Linked DNA regions of Drosophila melanogaster. The protein of the gene in region 1 purifies or fractionates together with the protein of each later gene. This does not show direct contact. Each region holds a gene or a part of one and is shown on either strand. Other genes may lie near its edges.

Evidence for each region.
Region 2: the proteins of ND-39 (region 1) and ND-20L purify together in Drosophila melanogaster (affinity purification with mass spectrometry, with the first as the bait; one large-scale study listed by BioGRID). This does not show direct contact.
Region 3: the proteins of ND-39 (region 1) and CG10126 purify together in Drosophila melanogaster (affinity purification with mass spectrometry, with the first as the bait; one large-scale study listed by BioGRID). This does not show direct contact.

What each region holds. Positions count from the first base shown.
Region 1 is NT_037436.4:20,489,294-20,498,843, forward strand, and holds ND-39 (NADH dehydrogenase (ubiquinone) 39 kDa subunit), read left to right. Parts: upstream 1-2,788; 5' UTR 2,789-2,921; intron 2,922-3,948; exon of another isoform or gene 3,949-4,197; intron 4,198-5,369; exon of another isoform or gene 5,370-5,628; intron 5,629-6,053; exon of another isoform or gene 6,054-6,058; 5' UTR 6,059-6,186; coding exon 6,187-6,226; intron 6,227-6,331; coding exon 6,332-6,782; intron 6,783-6,864; coding exon 6,865-7,230; intron 7,231-7,298; coding exon 7,299-7,692; 3' UTR 7,693-7,791; downstream 7,792-9,550.
Region 2 is NT_033777.3:29,513,002-29,518,476, forward strand, and holds ND-20L (NADH dehydrogenase (ubiquinone) 20 kDa subunit-like), read left to right. Parts: upstream 1-2,715; 5' UTR 2,716-2,784; intron 2,785-2,811; exon of another isoform or gene 2,812-2,842; 5' UTR 2,843-2,843; coding exon 2,844-3,482; 3' UTR 3,483-3,526; downstream 3,527-5,475.
Region 3 is NT_033777.3:12,853,595-12,861,876, reverse strand, and holds CG10126 (uncharacterized protein), read left to right. Parts: upstream 1-2,630; 5' UTR 2,631-2,659; coding exon 2,660-2,701; intron 2,702-4,244; exon of another isoform or gene 4,245-4,381; coding exon of another isoform or gene 4,382-4,387; intron 4,388-5,271; coding exon 5,272-5,420; intron 5,421-5,514; coding exon 5,515-5,634; intron 5,635-5,689; coding exon 5,690-5,747; intron 5,748-5,839; coding exon 5,840-6,052; intron 6,053-6,109; coding exon 6,110-6,211; 3' UTR 6,212-6,333; downstream 6,334-8,282.

The sequences.
Region 1 (9,550 bases):
TTATGGTAAATAAATGTGATAAGTTGAGGTATACAATGTGCCTAACTTAAAGAACAGAACCATGGACCTGCTATATGTTATACTTCATTAATGATATTTATAGTAATCCATTTATAGACAGCATTTCTATATGATTTCACTGTCGTTATATAAAACTTCCTTAAAGTGACAGAACAAGCCCAAATCGACTGTTGATTTAAATCTGTCGCTTCCACGTGGAATCCTCAATAGGATTATTACGCAAATTAACATTGCCGCCCAGAATACAATTTTATCAAATGTACAAACGCCTATGTTTGTCGTCGATTCGACTCTTAAATGAGCCAATTGCATTCCAAATTGTCACACGTGCAATGGCATATAATTAGAATAGATCAAATGATAAAATCTATTGTTTTAGAACCCCATAGAGATAGACATGGAAAGCGAGTAAGCTAAGTACTAAAGCGCTAAACGGCGCCTCGGGGGCACTAGATTGTGCGCCCCAGCAAACAATCGACTGTTTTCCATACTATAGCTATAGTAATTCCAGCAGAGACATTGTAGAAATAACAATTAGCAGGTAGCAACAAACTATTTGGATGAGTGGATGAGGCCATAGACATCTGTTTGATTAAATGGATTCTGTGTACTCGTGTATCTTCCAGTTGTTCCACTAAATGTTCATTTCCTCAATTTGATTTCGTTTTCATTCGAAATCCGAAATGGATGGGTAGTGGGTGGCAGGAGGCAATGTTATATAGGCTCGAACAAAAGATAACACAAGATAAGCAGAGCTACAGATACAGATACAGATAAAGATACTGATTCGTGTGAAGCCTCAGGTCGCTCATTGTTGCTGTAGTTGCTAGGGGATAATGAAGATAACGAAGTGATCCTCCCGATAAAATGTGGTGTGATATGAGTGGCATGTGGATGAGAACTGACGGTTCCCAAAGACTACCAAAAAAAAAGCAAAGATGTCAAGGCAGGTCTAAAAGCTGAAATTAGGCTTAGCTTTTCATTTACAATTTTGTATACCCATTACTCGTAGAGCAGGAGGGTATACTAGACACCCAGGAAAATTTTAGAGTAATAATAGGGTAATGCAAGGTCAACAGACTTAATGCCATTTTTTGGGGTAAAAGATTTAATGTACACTTGTTTTCGAAACCGATTAAAAAAAAAAGAAAAAGTTGGCATATCACGCTAGATTGAATAAAGTAATTGCTCGTATTTATTGGATTTGTATATTTAGCGAATTTTTTTTTTTCAAATTTAATGCTTACTGGTGGTAAACTGTTTAAATAAAGAAAATTAATATGCAACATATCGGTATTGTTATTGATATCGCCGCTAAACCTTTGATTTAACATCACTCGAAATATTTATTGAAGTGAAAACAGAAGCAATCGGCAAGTAAAATGAACAACTTATAACGTGTAATTAAATTTATATATAAATTTCTTTTAGTTTGTATGTTAACTAGCTATTTAATTGCGAATAAGTCCAATGTTCAATTGAATGTCCGTCCGTCCGTCTGACCGTACATATTTTTTTAAAGATATTTGTAAAAAGTTGAGACAAGGCATGCATCCCGACATCTGAGTAACAGGTATCTGGTTATTTTATAGATGCTATGTATAGTTAAACAACTATTTTACAAAAATGAAATTGCTCACAGATTAGTATTGCGAGAAATCTTTTTACTTTCGAGAATTCAATTGCAAAATTTTAAGGTTTTTATGGAATGTTTTTTCACCCCTTTTGTCATAATTATTTGATTACCCTCGAATCCGGACCTTCTCAGATGGCGTAAAGTCCAGATCGTAAATCTGAGCCAAGAGTTGACAGCTCAATTGCCAATTAGACCAATGCAACAGCTCACTCCATTAATTGAAAAAATAAACAAAAAGTGAAGCGTGCAGTAAAATTCGGGACCAATAACATTTGCTTTTTGTTTTGATTTGCCATCATCAGGTTTCAGGTGCATTAATTCTGTTTGCTTGTTTAATTTTTTGCTTCTTTCGGACCATTGCCTGCATACAAATGAAGTTTGGCAACAAACAGCATTTGTTGCCTATTGGTTTTTGCGTAGATTTTAAACTGAATTACAAAAATACTTCCTATACGGGTCCCTGGCCTGTTTTCAAAACAACCAGCAGCTAAAATCTAACAATTTTGACCATTTCGGACACGATGACAAGGTTGCCGATGCCTTTGGAATTTCTAATTCGCAAGGGAACGGTGTTATTTAAAAATTCTATCAATATTGTTATTGTCTATCAGTGGGCCACAGACAACGTGTGCTGCCAATATTTTATTACTTTGTTGCCCATGAGGCGCATTTGAACATTTCGAACGCGCCAAAATCGGACTCCTGATAAGCAGATAGAGATAGTTGTCTACCGACCCTATCGCTATCTCACCCCAGGTGATTAAGTGGTAAGTGGACAGGTCTGACTGATAAGAGCGATTTGGAAAACAATATCGAAAACAACTCGGCTTTCAGTGGGTTAAAATGCCATCACTAGTCGAGGGATTGATTCGATGGGGAATGTTGATGTTGCCACCGGTAAATGTTGCCAAGTGGAAATTAATATTTTTAGGGGGGCTCTCTTATAATATGGGATGTAAATATGACTTATTTAGGTAATACAGCCTTAAAATCATAGGTACATTATAAATATAAGATGTAAGATAAGAGTTAATAAAGATGGAACAACTAGGCGAAAGTAAGTATGCAGATTTTAAGTTATTCCATATTAGTAAGTAGTAGGCTATAAGTTAAATTGCATTGCACTCGGCTAAATTTTCCGTACTAATTGTGTGTTCTATAAAAATCCAGCTTGTATCTTACTGCTTTTTAGCCCATAATCATAAAAGTGAAACCCAATCCACGTTTTTTTTCGCGAATTCACAACCCTGACCACCTGTACATAGTAAGTGATGAAGCACACGATTCAATGAAATATTCCCATTATAATAAACAAAGAAGTGTAAATATTTTAATTACGATTTTATGCACCACCATCTACGTGCAATCTGCACCTATATACATAAGTATATATCTATATATGTACATATGTATGCTTTCCCTGCATCCTCATCGAAAACGTGATCAGTTGGGGTCCGAGAGATTTTTTGATGATTTACAAAAACCCATTAAAATAATACGAAGTTTGATATTAATGCTGATTACTAAAGACCCACTTCAATTACACTTAATGACTCGAAATTACAAAACGACAAATCTAATTGAATTAAATTTATAAACATACAATGCGGTTGCAGTGATAGAAGTAATAAATACAATAATAGCTTTCTATGTAAGAGATTAAAATATAATAATTTTTCTTTTAATATAAATGTAAAATTTTTGGATCTCACGCTACTCTTTAGATTAATAATTTGAGTTGGCTAATATAACCGTGCAACCAAAAATGCATTATTAACTCAATCGCAAACAAATTAGTTTGTTTATTATTTCATAGAGTAATTGTTTATAATATTTTGGAACTGGAAACACGGCCGAGCTGGGTTCTTCAGAACTTGAGCCAAGGCCCGGGATTAATTTCCATTGAATTAGCTAAGGGTGAGAATTTGTTTTTAGCTTAATCTCGATGCGACTGGCAGGTGGATCGTAGACAGATATAACCGTTAATTAGCATTAATTTCGATCGAACTTATTTTTATACACCGCAGAAGTAATACATATTTCGGGCAATATTTTTTCACATCGGTGCCAAGAGGCGCGAGGCGTCTTAATAATCACTTGCTAAATGGATCTACAATCTGCCCGCTAACGAATCAGTCATCTATATACAATCTGCGAGTATCCAAAACTGCGCGCATTAGGGCGTATTTTTCCGATTCCTGGGCCCAGATACAAAGCCGAATTTCGCATACGGCCGAAAAGCCCTTATCAGTCTAGACCCCTAATACTGTGGCTAAGAACTGGAGAATTACCGTCTTTTGGACTCTGATAAGCGAAAAAAGGCCTGCGTTCGCTTTACGTTTTCTAATTATAACCGCGGCAGCGTAAATTGCTTTGGAAAATGTAGCTTTTCCTATTTTATTGTTATTATTATTATTATTATTATTCACACACACGCACGTTAGCGATTTAAAATATTTCGAGGCACACGCGCTAATTTTTTCGGGAGCGAATCATTCAGATCGTTGTTAACTGCAGCGCGGCTCAAACACGAATGATCGCAAAAGACGACGAGAAATATACATATGGCAAAATAAACGGAAAACCCGAAGCACCATGCCGAACTATAAGTACTCTTTTAATTGAAATTCGAAATGTTATAATACTAGTAAAGCTATGTTCTACAAAAACAAGAAGATTTCCTCATTATAATTCTGAGCATTCATAATTGAATTAAAATTAATTTTAATTTTTTCACTAGAACGGATATGTTCCAAGAGTAGTTAATTTATTTATTTATTTACTTTTGAGTTACTCTTCGTAAGGGTATTAAAGGCAAAGAGAGATGGTCGAATAGGAGCAACAACAACACCAATAACCACGGCCGGCAAAACAAACGAAAAGCCCGCAAATTTAAAGGGTGGGGAGCAGAGATAAGGAAGAGAGAGGTAGAAAGCAACAGTGATAGTATTTGTGTGGGCGAAAAAGTGCGTGAGCAGGTTGAAAAAAAATCAGCTGATTGCATGTGAGCTATTAAAGAGAGCGAAATGAGAGCAGAAAAAGGAGAGTGAAATTTATACATATGTTGCTTGTTTATGCCTGTCAAATGTAGGTATGTTTGTATTGTCGTTATCTAGGTAGGTTTATGAGACAACAACAATGCCATAATAAATATTATAAATACATATTTACATATGAAGCTATGGTAATCTCTATAGAATTACATCCTCAATTGTCAAAAGCAGTGATCTGTGCAGATATTTAACTTATCAAACGCACAACTGAAGTCAACAAACAAAAAACAATGTGTTTTATTATAACAATAATATAAACAATGTGTTTTATTATTTATTTTTAGACAGGGTGATTCAATAGAAATATCTGACACGAAATTTACTCTTTATACACAAATACGTACATATATATGTATAAGAACGCGTTTGACACACTGACAAATGTTTATAATTTTTTGTATATCCTGACCCACTGCATGTGTATAATGTAATGTTACAATACCAGAAATATTTTTGTATCGAAGGAGGTTATTCATGACAGTCGCATTCGCCTGAAATCCCATTATCTTAACCAATCTAAAAACAAATTACTAACTTATATACCCTCGGTACTAATTAGTTTACCCAAGCTGTTACATTCAAACCAAATTAGCTAGTGGTCCGCACTTTATAACCGCAAAAATGTGTATCCATTATGAACAGTTTCACCACAAGCTCACTTTTATTTCACTGCTTATCGGTGTTTTTGGTCCGTAGAAATAGTTAATCCTTAGTTGGCCGATTTCGAACAGATAACACTAAGTTTTCCCGATGCTCTCGGTTTTACAGCTCGAAGGCGACTGCTAACTGAATTCTTTGTCCGTAGAACCCAAGCCGTGCCGAATTAAACGATCCGCGGGCTGGAAATTGCAATTAAGCCACGCACATTAGATAAAAAGTTTGCGGTGTGACAAGCAAGGCAGTTACTTTTCAACTGGGACACGGTTAGCTTATGTCTTATTTGCCAACAAATATTTATAAACTAGTGCCAAGCAAGAAGAGTGGTTTATATGACGGTTTAATTACCGCTAAGAGGCTAAGATATCCCCAAGGTTGTCAAAGTAATTATGAGGTAAAATTATTAGTGCCACCTAAATAGTATGAATAATTCGAGATCATAGTAGTTATAACCGTAGTAGCATTTACCGATATTTGATAATCAGATAATTAAAATATGTTTGGTATGCAATGGCCACGAACACGGTCTATTGGTTATGAGGTCAATTATTTACATATTTAGGGTTAACTTTAGGTTAACAGGGCTTTTTAAAAACTATAGAAAAAACTGTTACTTTCCAAATCAAATGTTTTTCTTCAGTCTGGCAGCTTTGTTTGACGGTAGTTTTTGATATCAACCTGTCAATTCTAGTATATTCCAATTGCTACGCCACGGTCACACTGTCGTGGGGCAAAATAAAAAACTGGCCTGTTCCGAAATAAAATAGGATTTTAAGCGTAAATTAACCGAATCGAGTTGGTCCAGTGTGCCGGTGCGAAATGGCCGCCATAGTACTAACCCGTAATCTCCAGCTGGCCAGTGAGTACCGTGCCTGCGGTCGAAAACCGCCAGGCAATCCAATTATGTAATACGATGTTTGTGGCTAACTTTTGGCTCATTCTCTGTCCAATTCCGGATACTTAGAGCACCACGGCAGTGGCGTGGTTGGAGTTTTGTGCCTGCGTGGATATTCCGCCGCTGCTGCGCCGCCGGAAGATGGTCCACGTCCACTGAAGACCACCAATCCGGCTGCCATGAAGCGCGGAACTGGCGGACGTAGCAGTTTCAATGGGATCGTGGCGACCGTTTTCGGTGCCACCGGTTTCGTGGGCCGCTATGTCTGCAACAAACTGGGCAAATCTGGCACCCAGATGATCCTGCCCTATCGCGGTGACGATTCGGATGTTATCCGTCTTAAGGTCACCGGTGATCTTGGCCAGGTACTCTTTCACTTCTACAACCTGGAGGATCCCGCCTCCATTCGTGACGCAGTCAAGCACTCGAACGTGGTCATCAACCTGGTGGGCAGGGACTTCGAGACCAAGAACTTCAAGTTCAAGGATGTCCATGTCAACGGAGCGGAGAGGATCGCTAGGTGAACATCATAGCCAGCATTATTTGCCTGCCCACTTCTTCATTCTAACTTTGCATGACGTAAACCACTTTTATTTCTTCAGGATTGCGCGCGAGGCTGGCGTGGAGCGCTTAATCCACCTGTCCTCTTTGAACGTGGAGGCCAATCCCAAGGATCTGTACGTCAAGGGCGGCAGCGAGTGGCTGAAAAGCAAGTACGAGGGTGAGCTTCGCGTACGCGACGCCTTTCCCAACGCCACGATCATCCGCCCTGCGGATATCTACGGATCCGAGGATCGCTTCTTGCGCTACTACGCCCACATCTGGCGCCGTCAGTTCCGCTCGATGCCGCTGTGGCACAAGGGAGAGAAGACCGTCAAGCAGCCCGTCTACGTTTCGGACGTGGCCCAGGCCATCATCAACGCCGCCAAGGATCCGGACAGCGCTGGCCGCATCTACCAGGCTGTGGGGTAAGTCAATCTCCGAGTCCAAGTATTTGTACCATGTACATTTTCTTAATTTCCTTTATTCTCTGCAGACCTAAACGCTATCAGTTGAGCGAGCTGGTCGACTGGTTCCACCGCCTGATGCGCAAGGACCAGAAGCGCTGGGGCTACATGCGCTACGACATGCGCTGGGACCCCACCTTCCTGCTGAAAGCCAAGCTGAACAGCTTCATCTGCCCCGGCACCCCGATTGGCGGTCTGCATCCCGCTCGCATCGAACGCGAGGCTGTCACCGACAAGGTTCTGACTGGTGTCCCCACGCTTGAGGATTTGGGCGTCACGCTGACCACAATGGAGCAGCAGGTGCCATGGGAGCTGCGTCCCTACCGCGCCGCCCTCTACTACGACGCCGAGCTGGGCGAGTTCGAGACTCCCTCGCCGCCCAAGTGCATCGAGGCGCGCGATGAACTGCGTCTGTTTGCCTAAGCGGAGCGAAGTAGCTGTCTGTGTTGATTGGAAATTTTTAGTTGGAATTGTTTAAGGCGATGCGTCAATAAAGAGAAGTCGAAAGACCCAATGACAACGAAGGAAACTTATATTTCCAAATATTATATAGACATTGATATATGTATTTATTTCGTGCATTTAAATATAAAAAAATTTATAAATACTTTTGAAAAAAAAGTCAAATGGCTAGAAAAGTTTGATGTCGGAAAAAAGATTGGCAGCTCGAAATACCTTTGGTATTTTTCGGTATCTTATTGAGGTGACATCGCTCCGGCAACTAAATCAAAACAAATGAAATCGCTGTCATCGTCTGGCAACGCTTCGCCCGTCCGATTTTTCTTCCTTTGCGACCAGGAGCTTTTCTGCAGCAGTTTCCTCCGAAACTTACGCCCGTGCAGATTTATGGCCGGAAAATCATAGTACGGAAAATTCGATTTCCCAAGTTTTCTGAGTCTGTGTGTGTGTGTGTTTTTGGTGTGTGTAAAGATTTTCAACTTTTCAGCTTGGTTAAGCGGTGAAAAAAGAATATATCAACAACAACACAAGCGCGCGCCCGCCTCTCTTTTCGCGTTTTTGTGCGTGTGAGTGAGAGTGAGTGTGATAATTATGGCATAAGTGGCATACAAATTATGATAGCAGAATTCCCACGGCCGACGACGAATGTGAATTGGGAAAATCGAAAAAGCAGGCAAAGCCAGGAGGCGGATAAATCGCCGAGCGAGTGCAGCAAATCGATCAGCTGTGACGTCGACGGGGGCAGAAAGTTTGGCCAAAAGAAAAGGTCAAACAAGCAGCAGCAGCAACAACAACAACAACTGCACGCGGAACGGAAAGAGGAGGAGCTCTGTCACAAGCAAGGGGTAAAGGATAAGAGTAGTAAGAAGAAGGAGAATCTAGCAGGCGAGGAGGATAAGAAGAAAAAGCAAGAGGAAAGGGAACATAGCAAGAAGAAGCAGCAGCTTCAGCAGAAGCAAAGGGCAAATAACAAGAAGAAGAAGCGGCATCAGCCTCCCCGTGTACAGAGGAAAAAAAACCTCGTCTTATTTTTAGATTATTTACGCCAGTTTGGTGCCGTCGAAAGCGAAATTGTCGCTGTTGAATCAGCCGGCTGCTGTGACGTCAGAGAAGCAGGCTGCCATCACGCCAACGGTAAATACGCCGCCCATAACGGCACTTGGAGCCATTTCGAGCATAAAACCGAAATTTATGCTCTATATCGTCACCTGGAGATCGGTGGCCCGCTCGAACAAGTGCAACAGCAACAGCAGCTGAGGGTCTGTCCAATCAAGACCCGGCTGCGCTTCGAGATGCTCTTTGCCGAGCCACCGCCCACCCAGGGCCACGCCCCCACCGCCCACGGTCACGATCATACGGCCGATGATATGCCAGATGCGCCACCTGGCGGCGAGCCGGTGATCCCAATGCTGCAGGATCAGCAAAACAGCGAACTTATGGCCGGTGAGTCTAATCTAAAGATATTAAGTTAAAAAAACAACAAGCGGGCTTTATTTCCACAATAATTTACAAATTATTACTTTAATAAATAACGCAATTTAAGCAACAAAGTTTTAAAAGCCTATCACTATGCATGCTAAAAAAAATATATTGCAAACCTAAAGGGATATGACTCATTAGATAAAATGAGTCAATAATAAAAAGCTATCCCTCGAACGATATGTATGAAATATATCCAAACATTTTTATAATTTATAATTTAATACAGACAAATAGTGCGAGATTTGTATTTATATATTTATACCCTTTTCTTGTAGACTAAAAGAGTATTATCGGCTAGATAAAAAGTACGAAACGGGCGGGGAGGTAAGCATTTCCTGCA
Region 2 (5,475 bases), on another chromosome or scaffold:
TGGCTACAGCAAGTTGATAACAAGGAAATGCCGTAATAAAGAAATTAAAATGGCTGAATACACGGGGAGAATGTTTCTACTTCTTGTTGCACAACATTGTTGCAGCTAAAGCATCAGCAAACACTTGGGATATGTTTTTCGGATTCCCCAACCCCATTTTTCAAAAAAAAACATTGGCACAATTGGAATTTAATGGAGTCAATTTGGTGCCTGGTGATGCATAAACTGGCCAAAAGCAGTGGATTGGTGTGAGCACTCTCTTGAATGCAAAGAGCTTCCAATGGAAATGGAATGCTGCAGATGCTGCACTGCACTGGCAAAAATAAAGGAATGCCTATCTATTATTTGTAGCTCCAGCTGGCTACGATTCTTGGTGTGCAACTGCAAAGCCTCTGCTTATATTTCTCTCAGTGTACTGGCCAAGTTGCTCCTGCTGGCCGCTAACAATGCAGATCAAGAGATGAGCGCGTCCATTTCGGTCTGCGGATCGCCATTGTTCCGCTTGGCATGTTGTTGTTTTAGGAGCTCGCTAAAAAGACAAATGTGGTGTGCGGATGCGGATGTGGATGCGGGGGAGTTGCTCCTGACTTAGTAAGGCTCTCCAGTTCGAGCTAGTAAGCCAGCCAGCCAGCCAGCGCGTGTTAGTTCCACTCGTTAAGGATTTACGAGCAATTTTTATCACTTTGAGGATCGCTGACAAATCCGGCAACAACAATGCAATGCAACATGCGCATAATAATGGCAAGTTGTCCGGCATACAGCGTGTATATAAATACATATATATATATGTGCTGGTTGGGATATATGCCATGGCTATGTGCTATGAGCCATGAGACAGGAAGCGCACTCGGCTGTCTCATCGTTGTCGCTGATGTGGCCAAAAGTGGCCAATAAAACCCCAGCGACGATGTCACCGGGCAGCAACAATTGCAGTTGCTGTTGCAGTTGCAGCAGCGATGACGACGAATTATAGCAAAGTAATCGCAGTGGACTCTCCAGTTGCCAGTGCATCCTTTGTCCACCTGGATCATACCCTTTCAAGGAGTAGGATATGCCAAAGCCAACTCTGAACTACCATTTATATATAAGTATTACAATCATATCATATCATGCCATAAATCAATTTATACTCTATACTAATCAAGTACGAGGTCAATTTATATATTTATTACATTTATCTATCCACATTGAAAGCTATAGAGTATTCTGAGTTTCCCAACTTTATTTTCCTTTCCACCTTACTTATTTATTTCGCATCTTTCCCCCTTATTTTTTTTTTGTACATTTTCCTTGGCCAATATCGTTGGCGGCTTTTGGCGTTGATTTCCCTTCCAATTTATGTGACATATTGATTTTAAATTGATGATAGTCTATTTTGCGTTGGCCAGCCAACGGAGGAGCGAACAAAGCCGAACGAAACCAATTTATTTTAGCCATTTTAAATTGGCATTTTCGCCGGGTACGCAGCAGCGTTCGCTGCATTTGGCCAATGCGTTCGGGCCAGGCTCATATGACTTCATCAGCGGTTTATTGTCGACGGAGACGAGCTGGCTGGATAGCTTATGGTCTTCTGGGCGTCTGAGCTTCTGGCCTTCTGCTTTTCTGGCTGGGAAAATGGCAGCATACTGGCCTGCCTGCTCCATTCATAGGTGCGCATTTAAATGCAAATTTAATTCAATTAATGATGCATCAAATGCAGCCAATGCCTAATTGCCATGCGATGATCGTCGTCGTCCATGTCCCGCGTATTTATTTTCATTTCATTTCGTTTTATTTCATTTACTTTTTCTATTGCCCATCCTGCAGGATTCGCAGCAGAAGCCGCAGCTGCCGCTTGACAATATGGATGATTTAGTAGTCGCTGCCGTTTGGTTGTCGTGTCTGAGGCACCATAGGCGTAATTAGACAAGCATTGTGCAAAAGCGTTAATTAAAAACCACAGAGACACACAGCCAGTTGCCATTTTTCCACCGACTATTGACTGCCAGCTGCGCCAGCGCCACGACTTCAATCTCACACTAGGAGATACATTTGCAGCAGCCACAAAACTGTAGAAGTTCACTGCTCATTTGCTCTAAAAACTATAAGATACATTTCGGAAAAAATGTAACTATATTGAACAGTTTATGAAAAGTTACTACAAGATACAGTTTAAAACTGGTCAGCTTCATTTTACAGACTTTGCTTTAGAATCTACCCTTTAAAGTGCACAGTTTTTTTTTAATATGATTTACTTACAATTTCTTTCATTTAATGTAGAATGTATTCCTTTGCCAAAAGATCTTTTTTTTGCAAGTGCAGCTCCGCGGTGTCGATTCCGTAATGAGCCAGCGCATCGATTGCGTAAGTTCTCCGCGGATGCATCTGCTCCCAGTTTCCAGGGCCCATTCCCATTCCCATCTCTCGAGTTGCATGTCCCCAGGTCCTCGAGTCCCATTAGTGCACCCGTGCAGCGGGGATGTGGATGGTGATGGCGCTGCAGCAATCAGCTAATAATTTCCTCCTAAGCGATCTGTACTCAAGCATCCATGGCGCATGAATGGGAGCTCCATGCTCATGCGTATTTATGAGCTTCATGGATTCCTGTTCGCTGTCCGCCCAGCGTTGAGTGCCTGGGATTTCGGATTGATTTTGACGCCAATCGGTGGCGTCAGGGGAATCCAAATGGGATTTACAAGAGCTTATATACATTGTAGAAGCCAAAGTGTTAAAAATGTTACATAGCTCAGCCTCAGAAAAAGTTGTCAAACCTTCAATATAGCTAGCAATATCTAAAAGTTCAAAGTAAGTTTTCACATTTTCCATGCATTGCTACATCGCAAAATAAATTAAGTATCTTCAGGATGATAAGTTTCCTGAAATTGGCCAGGAATCCTGGCCAGCTGCTGCTGCCTGGCAGTGGAGTGCTGCAATCCCAGTGGCTTCGTGGCCAGAAGACCATGCCGGTGTACGATTACCGTTGCCAAAATCCGCCAAAGTGGGGCTACTCGGCCTTCGGACGCAACCAGAAGACCTGGGGCGAGTGGACCTGTGCCAGGTTGGATGACCTGCTAAACTGGGGACGCAAGGGATCCCTCTGGCCGCTGACCTTTGGTCTCGCCTGCTGCGCCGTCGAAATGATGCACATTGCGGCTCCTCGCTACGACATGGATCGCTACGGTGTGGTGTTCCGAGCATCTCCTCGCCAGGCGGACGTGCTCATCGTGGCCGGAACCCTGACCAACAAGATGGCACCGGCCTTTCGGAAGATCTACGACCAGATGCCCGAGCCGAGATGGGTCATTTCCATGGGCAGTTGCGCCAATGGTGGCGGCTACTACCACTACTCCTACTCGGTGGTTCGCGGCTGCGATCGCATTGTTCCGGTGGACATCTACGTGCCCGGATGTCCGCCCACCGCCGAGGCCTTAATGTACGGAATCCTGCAGCTGCAGAAGAAGGTAAAGCGCATGAGGACCCTGCAGATGTGGTACAGGAAGTAGAGAATATTCTTGTAAGGAGTTCAGTAAATAAATGATACCTTGTTAAGTAAAGTGTTTTTGGGGTGGTGCAACCGATAAGTAGAGTTGGGCTTAAATCGATCCTAACCTAATCCGATCTCTGCCTTACCCAAAACGAAGTCAAAGAGTTAAGCGCATCAGTTCCAGCAACTACACAAGATTCCTGGCTCAGAAAGTCGCTTAGTCAGCGGAATAGGGCTCGTGCTCACCTGCAAGGATCGGTTTCATGTCCCGCAAAGGACCTCTTGAAGCGAGTCCTGCAGACAATGCGCGGAGACAATAAACACTTCTGACGGCACTGTCTCTCAAGTGGCGATGAAATATGAAGGGTTCTTGAGGCATATGAAAGGATTTCGTTGTTTCACATTTTTTCGAGCCAGCCCGAAAATCCTTTTTGCGAATCTGGCGACACCGAGCACTTGAACTTGGTGGGAACATCATTAAATCCCCGTTCGAGTGCGGTGAGTGCATTAAATTGTGGGACAACTATCGCATTAGTGTAATCCATGTGCGACACACCCACAAAACTGGCAGATCCTCGGCTTGAATGGAAACTCTCGAGAGTGAAGGACTTGAATGAATGAGTATCTCCTCTCATTCAACGAGCGGCGAGAAAAGGACCTGCACACTCTGAAAATCTGGACAAAGGCGCAGCAGGCAGCCCGCTGATCTTCGGGGATCCTGGGAATCCTCTCGTGACTCGCACAATTCCTGCGAATAAGAATGACTGCGTGGGGAAATTAACTTGTCTCAATCGCACAGCAATAAAAATTAATAACAAAGCCACTGGCAACTTGTTCGCCTCCATTGTGCAGGCATTAAATAAATTTAACAGCTCAATGACTTGTCGAAAGGTGCTGGGAGAATCCAGGGGCTCCAGGGGCTCCTGGGTTGCTGCAGAATCGAAATCAGTGGACCGTTCGCAGCCAGGCGAGCATATCTTAATTAGCAGACCCCGGCCCACATTAACCTTAATTTTGCTCTGTTTTATTTTACCGATTTCTGCTTAATTGCGGCGCCGAGGCGCCAACGAAAAAGCTTCGCAAGTGCACAGGCAAAATGTTGTTAACAACTTGCTTGGAAAGTGAGCTCAGTTAATCAGTAAGAATATTCAAGAGAAACTCATTGATTTAAGTTGCTGCGTATATCTACATTAGTTTCAGATTTTTTTTTTCGATTTTTTTCAGTGCACTTGCAGCGACTTTTCGCTGGGATTTCCAGTGGAGTGTCCAGCGACGCATGCTCAGGATTTGCACTTGAGTGAAAAGCTGGTAATCTGGAGACGGGGCCACGACCACCGTGGTGGGTGCTACCTGCATATCCACAGCTCGCCAGCGATTGCAGCCCCTTTGCTGGGCAAAATGAGTGGGTTCGGCCAATGTTCCACGGGCAATAAATTACGTCAGAGGCAGATCGGGCAGAAATGCCCAACGAATTGTGTGTGTTTAACACCTAATCGCCCGTTATGCTCGCCATCCGATTGTGAGGTCCTCCAAAAAGTGTTCAAAAACAAAAAAAAATAAGGAGACTGACTCGCCGCCAAAATGGGTGCAACAATAGCGATTCAGAAAGCAGCATCTAGTGTTCATTCATTCATTCATTCATTCAATCGTTCAGTGCCCCAGTGTGGCACTCATTCATTCATGCCTCATAATGAAATTGTTGGATGCGTCTTCTTCGGTTCTTTCCCATTTTATTTGAGCATTGTGAGCTGGCGGAGATTTATGTTCATGAATGTAAATGCCTTCTTCAAATCTTTTTTATTGGCATTATGCGGAATTGATTTGTTGCCTCGTTGGGCTCTTTCATAAAATTATTATCACACCTTGGGAATTCGAGACCAGACCTGAATCTGATCTGATCTCCTTTCTTTTGGGCAGAGTTATTAAGCTGATTTTAATTGCGTTCCGTGCGTTTGGCTGCTTTGATCGGGTCTCGTAAATCTAATTTAGTGTTCTTCGAAATTTAGACGTTT
Region 3 (8,282 bases), on another chromosome or scaffold:
TCGCTTAATTTGAAAAGTTTGACAACGCAACCACACACAGCATCCTATCACACCAAAAAAAAGGCCACCAATATATCCTAGATAGCACACTAGGTGTAATAAGCACAACTATCAAATCATTTACGGCTTTTGGCATTCGCATGTCAACTTTTTGCATACAATATCCTGCCAGTTAATGGCCGAACTCGACAGCCAAATGAAAAAAGTTACTAGATTCGTGTGCATCGAGTGTCCGTCATCAGGTTTGATCAATTTTGGCAGTTTTAATAATTTCCAGTCATTCAAAACCAACTAATCAAAACTCACATGGTGTCGGGAATAGACCCAAAGCAGTCTTGGGTCCAGACGAGTTGACAGTTTGGCATGGCCAAAGATCAAATCAAAAACCTGTCCGAACTTTAAATGCCCTGAAAACGTTACAAAATATTAGAAGAGGCAAAGGTATATTGCTTTTAATATGTTATGCATTTTAAATGCTTTTGTTAAAGATGATCGTTAAATTAAAGCAATGATTTAATATTAATCGTTGTAAATTTACCTACCCAACCTTATAACCATTCCTTAAAACCCCATTAACAGAGAGTAGAAACAACCCTTTTCATGAATAACTCAATTCAACGCAGTTCGGCTTATAAAATTTATGTAAATCTGTTGGAAATTGAAATATGCAGATGCTCATTTCGAAAATTAGGACAAAGGCAAAACCCGTTCGACCAACGAAATGTATTAAAATGTATTTCGCATTTTATTAAATTTGCCAACATGATAAATTCTTTGGTGCCTCGGCACTGTCAAGCTCGCTGGCGACCCAACTTAAATTAAGTAATAAGTTTTATACGCCTTGACCTCAAGGGTTCATACCACACACACACACACTACCTTTTGCGCAAAGATACAAAGCTGAATATGTATTGACACACTCCTGGCAGACTTTTGCCTTTTGTGGTTCAAAGGTCGGGAGCGTGTGAAAAGCAGACAAGCAGATTTTCTTATTAAAATTATACAGATCTTACGGTCTGAAGTGGGGAAGGCATTTAGGGTTAATTTCGGCACCAGTCCCAAACCGACATAAGGCACAAAAGTTAATGTGATTAATGTTTACTTAATGAAATGAAGTTATCAAGTTGATTTTATCAATTTACACACAGGCGTCGCCACAGACAAAGACCCAAAATTCTCGAGGGCCTGTCAAAACTGGCGCCGGTGTGATGAAGGTGCTCCTCCATCCTAAGGATTAGGTGAGAGTCGTTCTCGCCTTTGACGAAAAAGTGAAGGGGAAAGGAGCTGACTCAATGCACTGAGAATAAGCGAAAATAAGAAACTAGGTCAAAATCTTTTCATAAAAATGTATAGATATTTTTAATCTTTTCAATAAATCCATTTAAATGCAATGTAAATATTTATCAAAAAAAGGTAATTTTTAAAATGTTTAATTTCTTTCCAGCGGTAGTTTTTGGTGGTGCTAAACTATGCTGGGCTGAACCTAATATTAGTAAAATGTGGTTGACAACCGACTGGTGTAGTGTTGGCCAGGCAAATATTTGCAACAGTCTGTGGAAGATCTTGGCTTTCGGATGGATAAAGTTGGATGTGGCAATCAGTGGACGTGGCAAAGGGAATTCCGTGGCAACAAGTTCAATTAAATCCCAGTCTCTGTCGAATTTGCGTCTTTCGTTAATCAATGCGTTTAACGTTTTCAATCAAGCAACTGGCAAAAAGGCAAAGGCAGGCGAATGATTGAAGGGGTCGCCAAGTGGGGGAGGGGGCAAGTCAGTCAGTCAGAGAGACAGCTCAAATTCAGTTAAGCATTTCACTTATTTGCATATAAATTGATTAAAAAGAAAATACACGCCAGGCACTCGCACACAGTCGCAGAGTTTTGAGTGTGTCAACATGGCAAAATGGCAAAAAGGACGAAAGGGTCCTGGTCTTCTTCTCGCCGCTTTCGCTCTGTCGCCGTCTCATTCGCATGTTTGGCCATCTCCCTCTCTCAACTGGGGCTTTTCCTCTTTGGCAATTTCTGACACTTCAAATGCGTATGATTGTTTTCCTTTTGATCAGCGAATTGTGAAGTGATTCACTGATTGAGTTCAGGCTCAGATGATGCGTTGACAACATCAATGCACACACTCTCCCGTTGAAGTCCCGCCCTCTTTCCAACGTCCTTTTCACACACCCACTCTCTCAGACGGACAGTCAGTCAACTGGGGAAATGTGTGGAAAAGGTGGAAAACCTTCAGGTCATATCCACTAACCACTCGCTTGCCTTCTTTCTTGCTGAAAAGCTTTCTCAAAAGCGTGGACAGGGGAAAAGTTGTTACTCTTAGTAAAAGCTTATCGAAAATAGATTTCTGTTAAGAAAACTACTCTTTGTATTAATGAATAACTTAAAAATTATCCTTATTCTAAAGAACACAAGATAATTTATTGACACAATTTCACCATTTTAGAACACGTGTTATTATTTCTTGTGGTTTCTTTGGCTAAAACGGGACAAGTTCAAAGACACGATATGAGTCACCTTGTCCCATTCATTGCCGCAGTGTGTTGTGGTACACCCCGAGCTGTTGCCTAGTTCCACTTACTTGTGCGGCATTTATTATTTTAGTTACTAAGTTTCGCCGGCTGAATTTAGTTGAGTTTCAATTCGTAGGGCGGCATGTTCTTGAGGGAGATTCGCACGAAAGGCTGGAGCCTCAAGGTTATTATAAATAAATCAATTATCAAACAAAAACTTTGATTCTACTCTGCTAAACATGCTAAGTACCGTTATAAAGGGTTTATTTGAGTGCATATTACGCATACGCAGTGTTGGCCGCCGGCAGTGATTCATGACTGATTATTGGGGCCGCGCTAGACAAACACGCTGGTCGAAGTGAAAATATTGTGCTGTCATGTTTACCTGGCTTATTTCCCGTAATGGTCGTATGACATGGTAGTGCCTCTAGGGGCGTATGCATATTATAAGACCCTTGGAACACGTGCACCGACCAAGCCGTGTCCAATAGCAACTTAGTTCAAGGCTATTCCTTAAATTAAGTGTTGTGTGCCGCCTATTGGAAAATGAATTTTACCACAGCAAATGCAACCTTAAATGGAATGTGAAGATATACAAATAACAGCAAAAGTCATATTCGATTTACCAAGTTTATTTTAGTGTACTGCATTAGGTTTTAAATATTTACAGCAGGCCTTACAAAAAAAAAAAAAAAAAAATTAATAAAGAATTTAAAGTAAATAAAAAGAAAAAGTGAATAGTTAAAGATTGCATTCATTTACATATTTTAAATTCTGCGAATCAAAGGCCAAGTGCAGTATTAACTTAAAGAGACAACATCATTTTTATTTCCTGATCTTTATGAATGAGTTTAATCGAAACCAACGCTTGTTTAACTTTGAACTTTCTGTTGTTGGTTGCCCTGCAACTTCAATTAAATCCAACCAAATAAATGGCAAACTCGTGGGCACTTTGAATTGCATACTTTCAGGTGCTTTCGTTTTTTTATCTAGATCAATTTTACAGGCCACAATCACTGAGTTTGAATATTTGTTTTCTGTCGGCTCGTGTTGGCCGAAAGTAAACATTTGGCCAGTGAAGTCACGAAATTGGTGTGTAGGAACCCGCCACTTTTTAATTGAAATAAAATGTTTAGAAGACCGGGTATATTCCACTATCAGAGTTGTCCATTTCTATCTAACAAAGTTGTAGGCACTCGAAGTTTTTTTAGGCATAGAAAATATCTTAGCTTACAGAAATGTATTGTTATCTAATAAATTTCGCTTGTTCGTGGAGAACAGATTTATATATAAACATGGTTTGGTCATGAGAAGTTTATTGTCAAATGTTTGGGTAAAATCTAATTTATATGGGTCAATATATTTGATTAAATTCATTTTATATTATCTTATTTTCTAACAGTATGTATCTTATTTTATTTTAAAATAAAGCTGCCATCACTGGCAAATGCGACCGAGTTATTAGGCGGATGAGTCAGGTGAGCTGGCAGTCCAGTGGGTTTTCTGTCTGGGACGAACTGTCTGCTCTACATGAGCGTAAATGCTTTTTAGTAACTAGTTTTCCCCCGCCACAAAAGCCGGCAAAGCTCATATTTCATTTCCACTCGTTCCACGGTGCTCCCCATCTGGGTGAGTGCCTCTCGTTCTGTCTCGAACCTTCGTATCTGGCCATCTCGCTCTTCTCGAGCGACTGGCTGTTTATTCATTGCGACCGCTTTATTTTTCGCTTTCAGTTTGCATTTCAAAGCCGCCAAAGTAACAAGTATCTTGCAGTTATCCATTCAGTTGGGCGCCTATAAAAAAAACAAGCCCCCATCAAATTTTGTATAAAACTAGTGAAAAGGTCTATTCACGAATAAAAAACATGGAGGTACGTTGTGCTTGGCTTGTTTATTCCCGCATTTGTTTTCTATTTGTGGGGCCAAACTTTTGGTCGGCGACCTTCACCTTGGGTTCCAATTTGGGAAATTGCGAAAGGGCTTTCTCCGAAATTAAAAATCCACCCCACTTTCGTTACACCTCTCCAGCTGATTATTAACTCCCCTTGCCTAGTGACGAATTTCACTTAATTGAAGGCAAGTCTCTTTAAAAGTGTGACGAAACAAACACTTAGAGAGCGTCTTGAGAAAAATCAGCAGAGGCGAAGCGAATGATTCACTGCGGTTCAAGGGATCTTTTGTTTTTATATTGTTTGTGTTTGCGCAGTAGCTTTAATTACTTGATCCATAAATGGATATTTTTGTTAGTCACTTTTTTTAGCGTTTTCGCTATAATTACATTACGGGGAATAGCCATAAGAGATATAGGAATGAAATTGAATACTCTGGTTTTGATTCGCTGTAGTTTATTTGCTTTGGTTGACATAAAAATGAACTCTAACATTATTTTGATATTAAGGCAGATAAAGGAATTAAAAGATAAGGTCGCAATATGTATACTCAAATGCAATACATACATGCAGAATAAGACAGGAAAATCTTTTTTTTGTAATTTTGTAGAATGTACTTGAATTGTTTTCCATTGAATATTGCTAATTCTTACTCATATATCGGTACTGTGGACCACATATTACTCACGGTTAATTTTCCATTATTATACGCCCACATCAAAGTTAAAGAGAAGCGGGTCAAGCTTACTAAAATCGAAATCAATCGATACACATTTTGTGTAGCAATGTCAAAAATTTTTGACAACTATTTCACATTAAATTAAACGTAAACGTATTTATAAATTCTAAAAATGCCTAAATCTAAGAACCCGAACTGTGACCTCTACACCCTGGAGGCCAACATGGCGAGTCAAGCGCTCCGGGAACTGACAGATGGCGAGGACAAGGATCCCATTACCAAGCTGCGATTGCTGTGCCTCAGCCGCGGAGCAACAGGCATACTGGGATTGGGCAGGTATGATTGGCTTATTGCCTTTTAACGACATTTCAATCGGACCTGCGCTGAATTATGCAATAGTAACAGTTTAACTTTCGATTATTCATGGCAGGGCCTTCCGGGCGATGGACGACGATGGTAGCAAGGCTCTGAATGAGGAGGAGTTCATCACTGGCATTAGGGACACCGGATTGGATGTGTCGGAGGAGGAGATCAAGCAGATGTTCGCCACGTGAGTGACGGCAGTTTCATTAACAATAGGAGAAATATTAAATTTCCCTTTTTAGGTTTGATGAGGATGGCAGTGGATCGATTAATATGACCGAGTTCCTGCTTAAACTAAGGGTAAGATGCACAATACATCTTATTTTGTACATACCATTCATAAGCTATAAACTATTCCATTCCATTGAAATATATTATTTTCCCATACTTAGCCCCCCATGCCGCAGAGTCGTTTGAATATTATTGATCAGGCGTTCAACAAAATGGATCGTGATGAAGATGGAGTAATTACCATTCAAGATCTTAAGAACGTGTACTCTGTAAAAGAACATCCCAAGTACCAGTCTGGAGAAAAGTCTGAGGATGAAATTCTTACCGACTTTTTGCACAACTTTGAGGGAGGTCGAGGAAACCTGGATGGAAAGGTGAGTCCTTATGACATTTTCTGCCTACAAACAACTTAAAAATATCATGTACCACAGATAACCCGCGAGGAGTTTGTCAACTATTATGCCACCATTAGTGCCTCAATTGACAACGATATGTTTTTTGATCTGATGATGCGACGTGCCTACGTCATGTAACTAGTGCGCAAATCTCACTGAACATTTTAATCTCAATCACTTTACTTGCCTCGAATTTAGTCCTGCTCATGTCCTATTTATACACTATATACAGAAAATAAATAAAACGTCTGGTTGCAATTAAATAAATCTCAATTTAAACTCCATATGGGCAAAGTTCCAATTGCAAAGAAATGAAGTATATCTGCTCATAATTCGAATTTGAAATACTTGACGGAGTTTTGGGCTTCAATGGATTTAAGGTTTCCAGAACTTAACATTCGTTAGCTGTGAGCATGCGAAGTGTTTGTCAAATATGCAGAATAACAAGTAACAAGTTTTCTCTAAACATTTGTTCGTAGTTTACATGGATTTAAAGCCCGGCTGGGTGGATACACCGAGAAGTATGAGTTAAACATAAGAATGATATAAAAATAGAAATATGTATTTTGTTGCATATGCATTTATCTGGCATAATTCAAACCACCTTTAATTGCTCGTAAGTCCCTAGTAATTTGGCAAGAGGGCCTCATCTAGTGTTTGATCGATCATTTTTTCTGAGTGTGTCCACGCATGCCTCTGTGTGGGCGTGGCTTATAATCAAAGCAGAGCGCCGAAGACGGCAATCACAGCCCCGAACAGGGAACCAAGCCCAAAATGCTTGCCAGACTCGGCAAATTGTTTGGAATTGTCAGCAGCAGCGAACTGATGTCCTCCGCATCGGTGTTTGGGTGTATGGGTGAGGTTGGGTGATGGGTATGTTTGTGAGAGTGTGCGCTGACTGGTTGGCATTTATCACACAGCCAGGACCGGCAGCCTAAATGTATGCTTTAAATTATGCAGACACCAGCTGAGTTTGTCGCCACATGCAACTGTGTGCGGGCATCCGTGTGGGTGTTTCTGCGAGTGTATTTGTTTGTGCGTGGCAAGTTTGGGCACTGATTGCAAGCAACTCATACAAAATTTTAATTGCCAATGTTGAAATTACGCACTGGTACAAAGAACGAGCGGGAGCCAGACTTCCGCAGAAGATGTGTGAGAAAACCCCGGGAAAACAGACTTGACTAACAAGCCGTGCACTGAGAAATATTAAGATTAACATGAAATTTGTAATAAACTGGTATAAAAAATCGGGATAAAAGTTAAGCAGTACATTGAAACTACTTTGTTGCAAAAGCTTTAGATGGATTTTATAATTTTTATAATTTTATAAACACAACCCTTAATTTTATTTAATGTGTGTGCTAGCAGTGCATATGCAATTGTGCAGTACTATCTGGGCTTCTGCTGTGTGTAAATCACACACTCACAAGTTTATCGTATCATTTCATTAAATTTTATTTACAGCCTGGCAACTGTCGTTGGGTAGCTCCTCCTATTTGGCAAGTTTTTGGCCAACGACAATTGAGAATTTGTGGCAGTTTTCAGTTGCCGGAAACTTCCTGTCGAAGCCCCAAATGGTTAAGCTAATCAAAAAAATTTCAATTGCCATTTTCGTTTGGGTTTGTTGTTGGGGTTCACTAATTCAAACATATATCACCAGAATTTATTGTCAATTGCATTTCTTGATTTTTTTAGGCCTCGCCAAAAGAAATATATATATTTAAGAAATATTTCAGATCCGAATTTGAGGAACCATAATATGCTTCGAAAGTTACGACTATTTTTTAGTTATAATTGGTTTTTTAATTTAGAAAATAATAAAGAGAAAAACAATTTTTTATTTCAAATTTATTTTTCTACGTTATACATATAAAATCAAAAACTTAACCAGTTCTGGTAGACTACCATGAGCAGTCGAATGCTCACGACAGCAGCGACTAATGCATTATTTAAATCTAGTTAGCACTTGGCCATTTGCCGTTGATTGAAAAGGACGAAGGCAAAAGGTGAAAGGACAACACTGACCGGCAAAGTGGGGATCGTACAAATGGAAGAGCAGCACATAAAAATAATAATAATAAAAGGCAGCCGCAGGCCAACAGTCCTTGGGACATCATTGACGGAGTATTGAATACATTTCATTGCATGCGGAATACGGGATGGTAAGGAGATTGGAGAATGAAGAACGGAGAAAGGATAATGGAGCAGG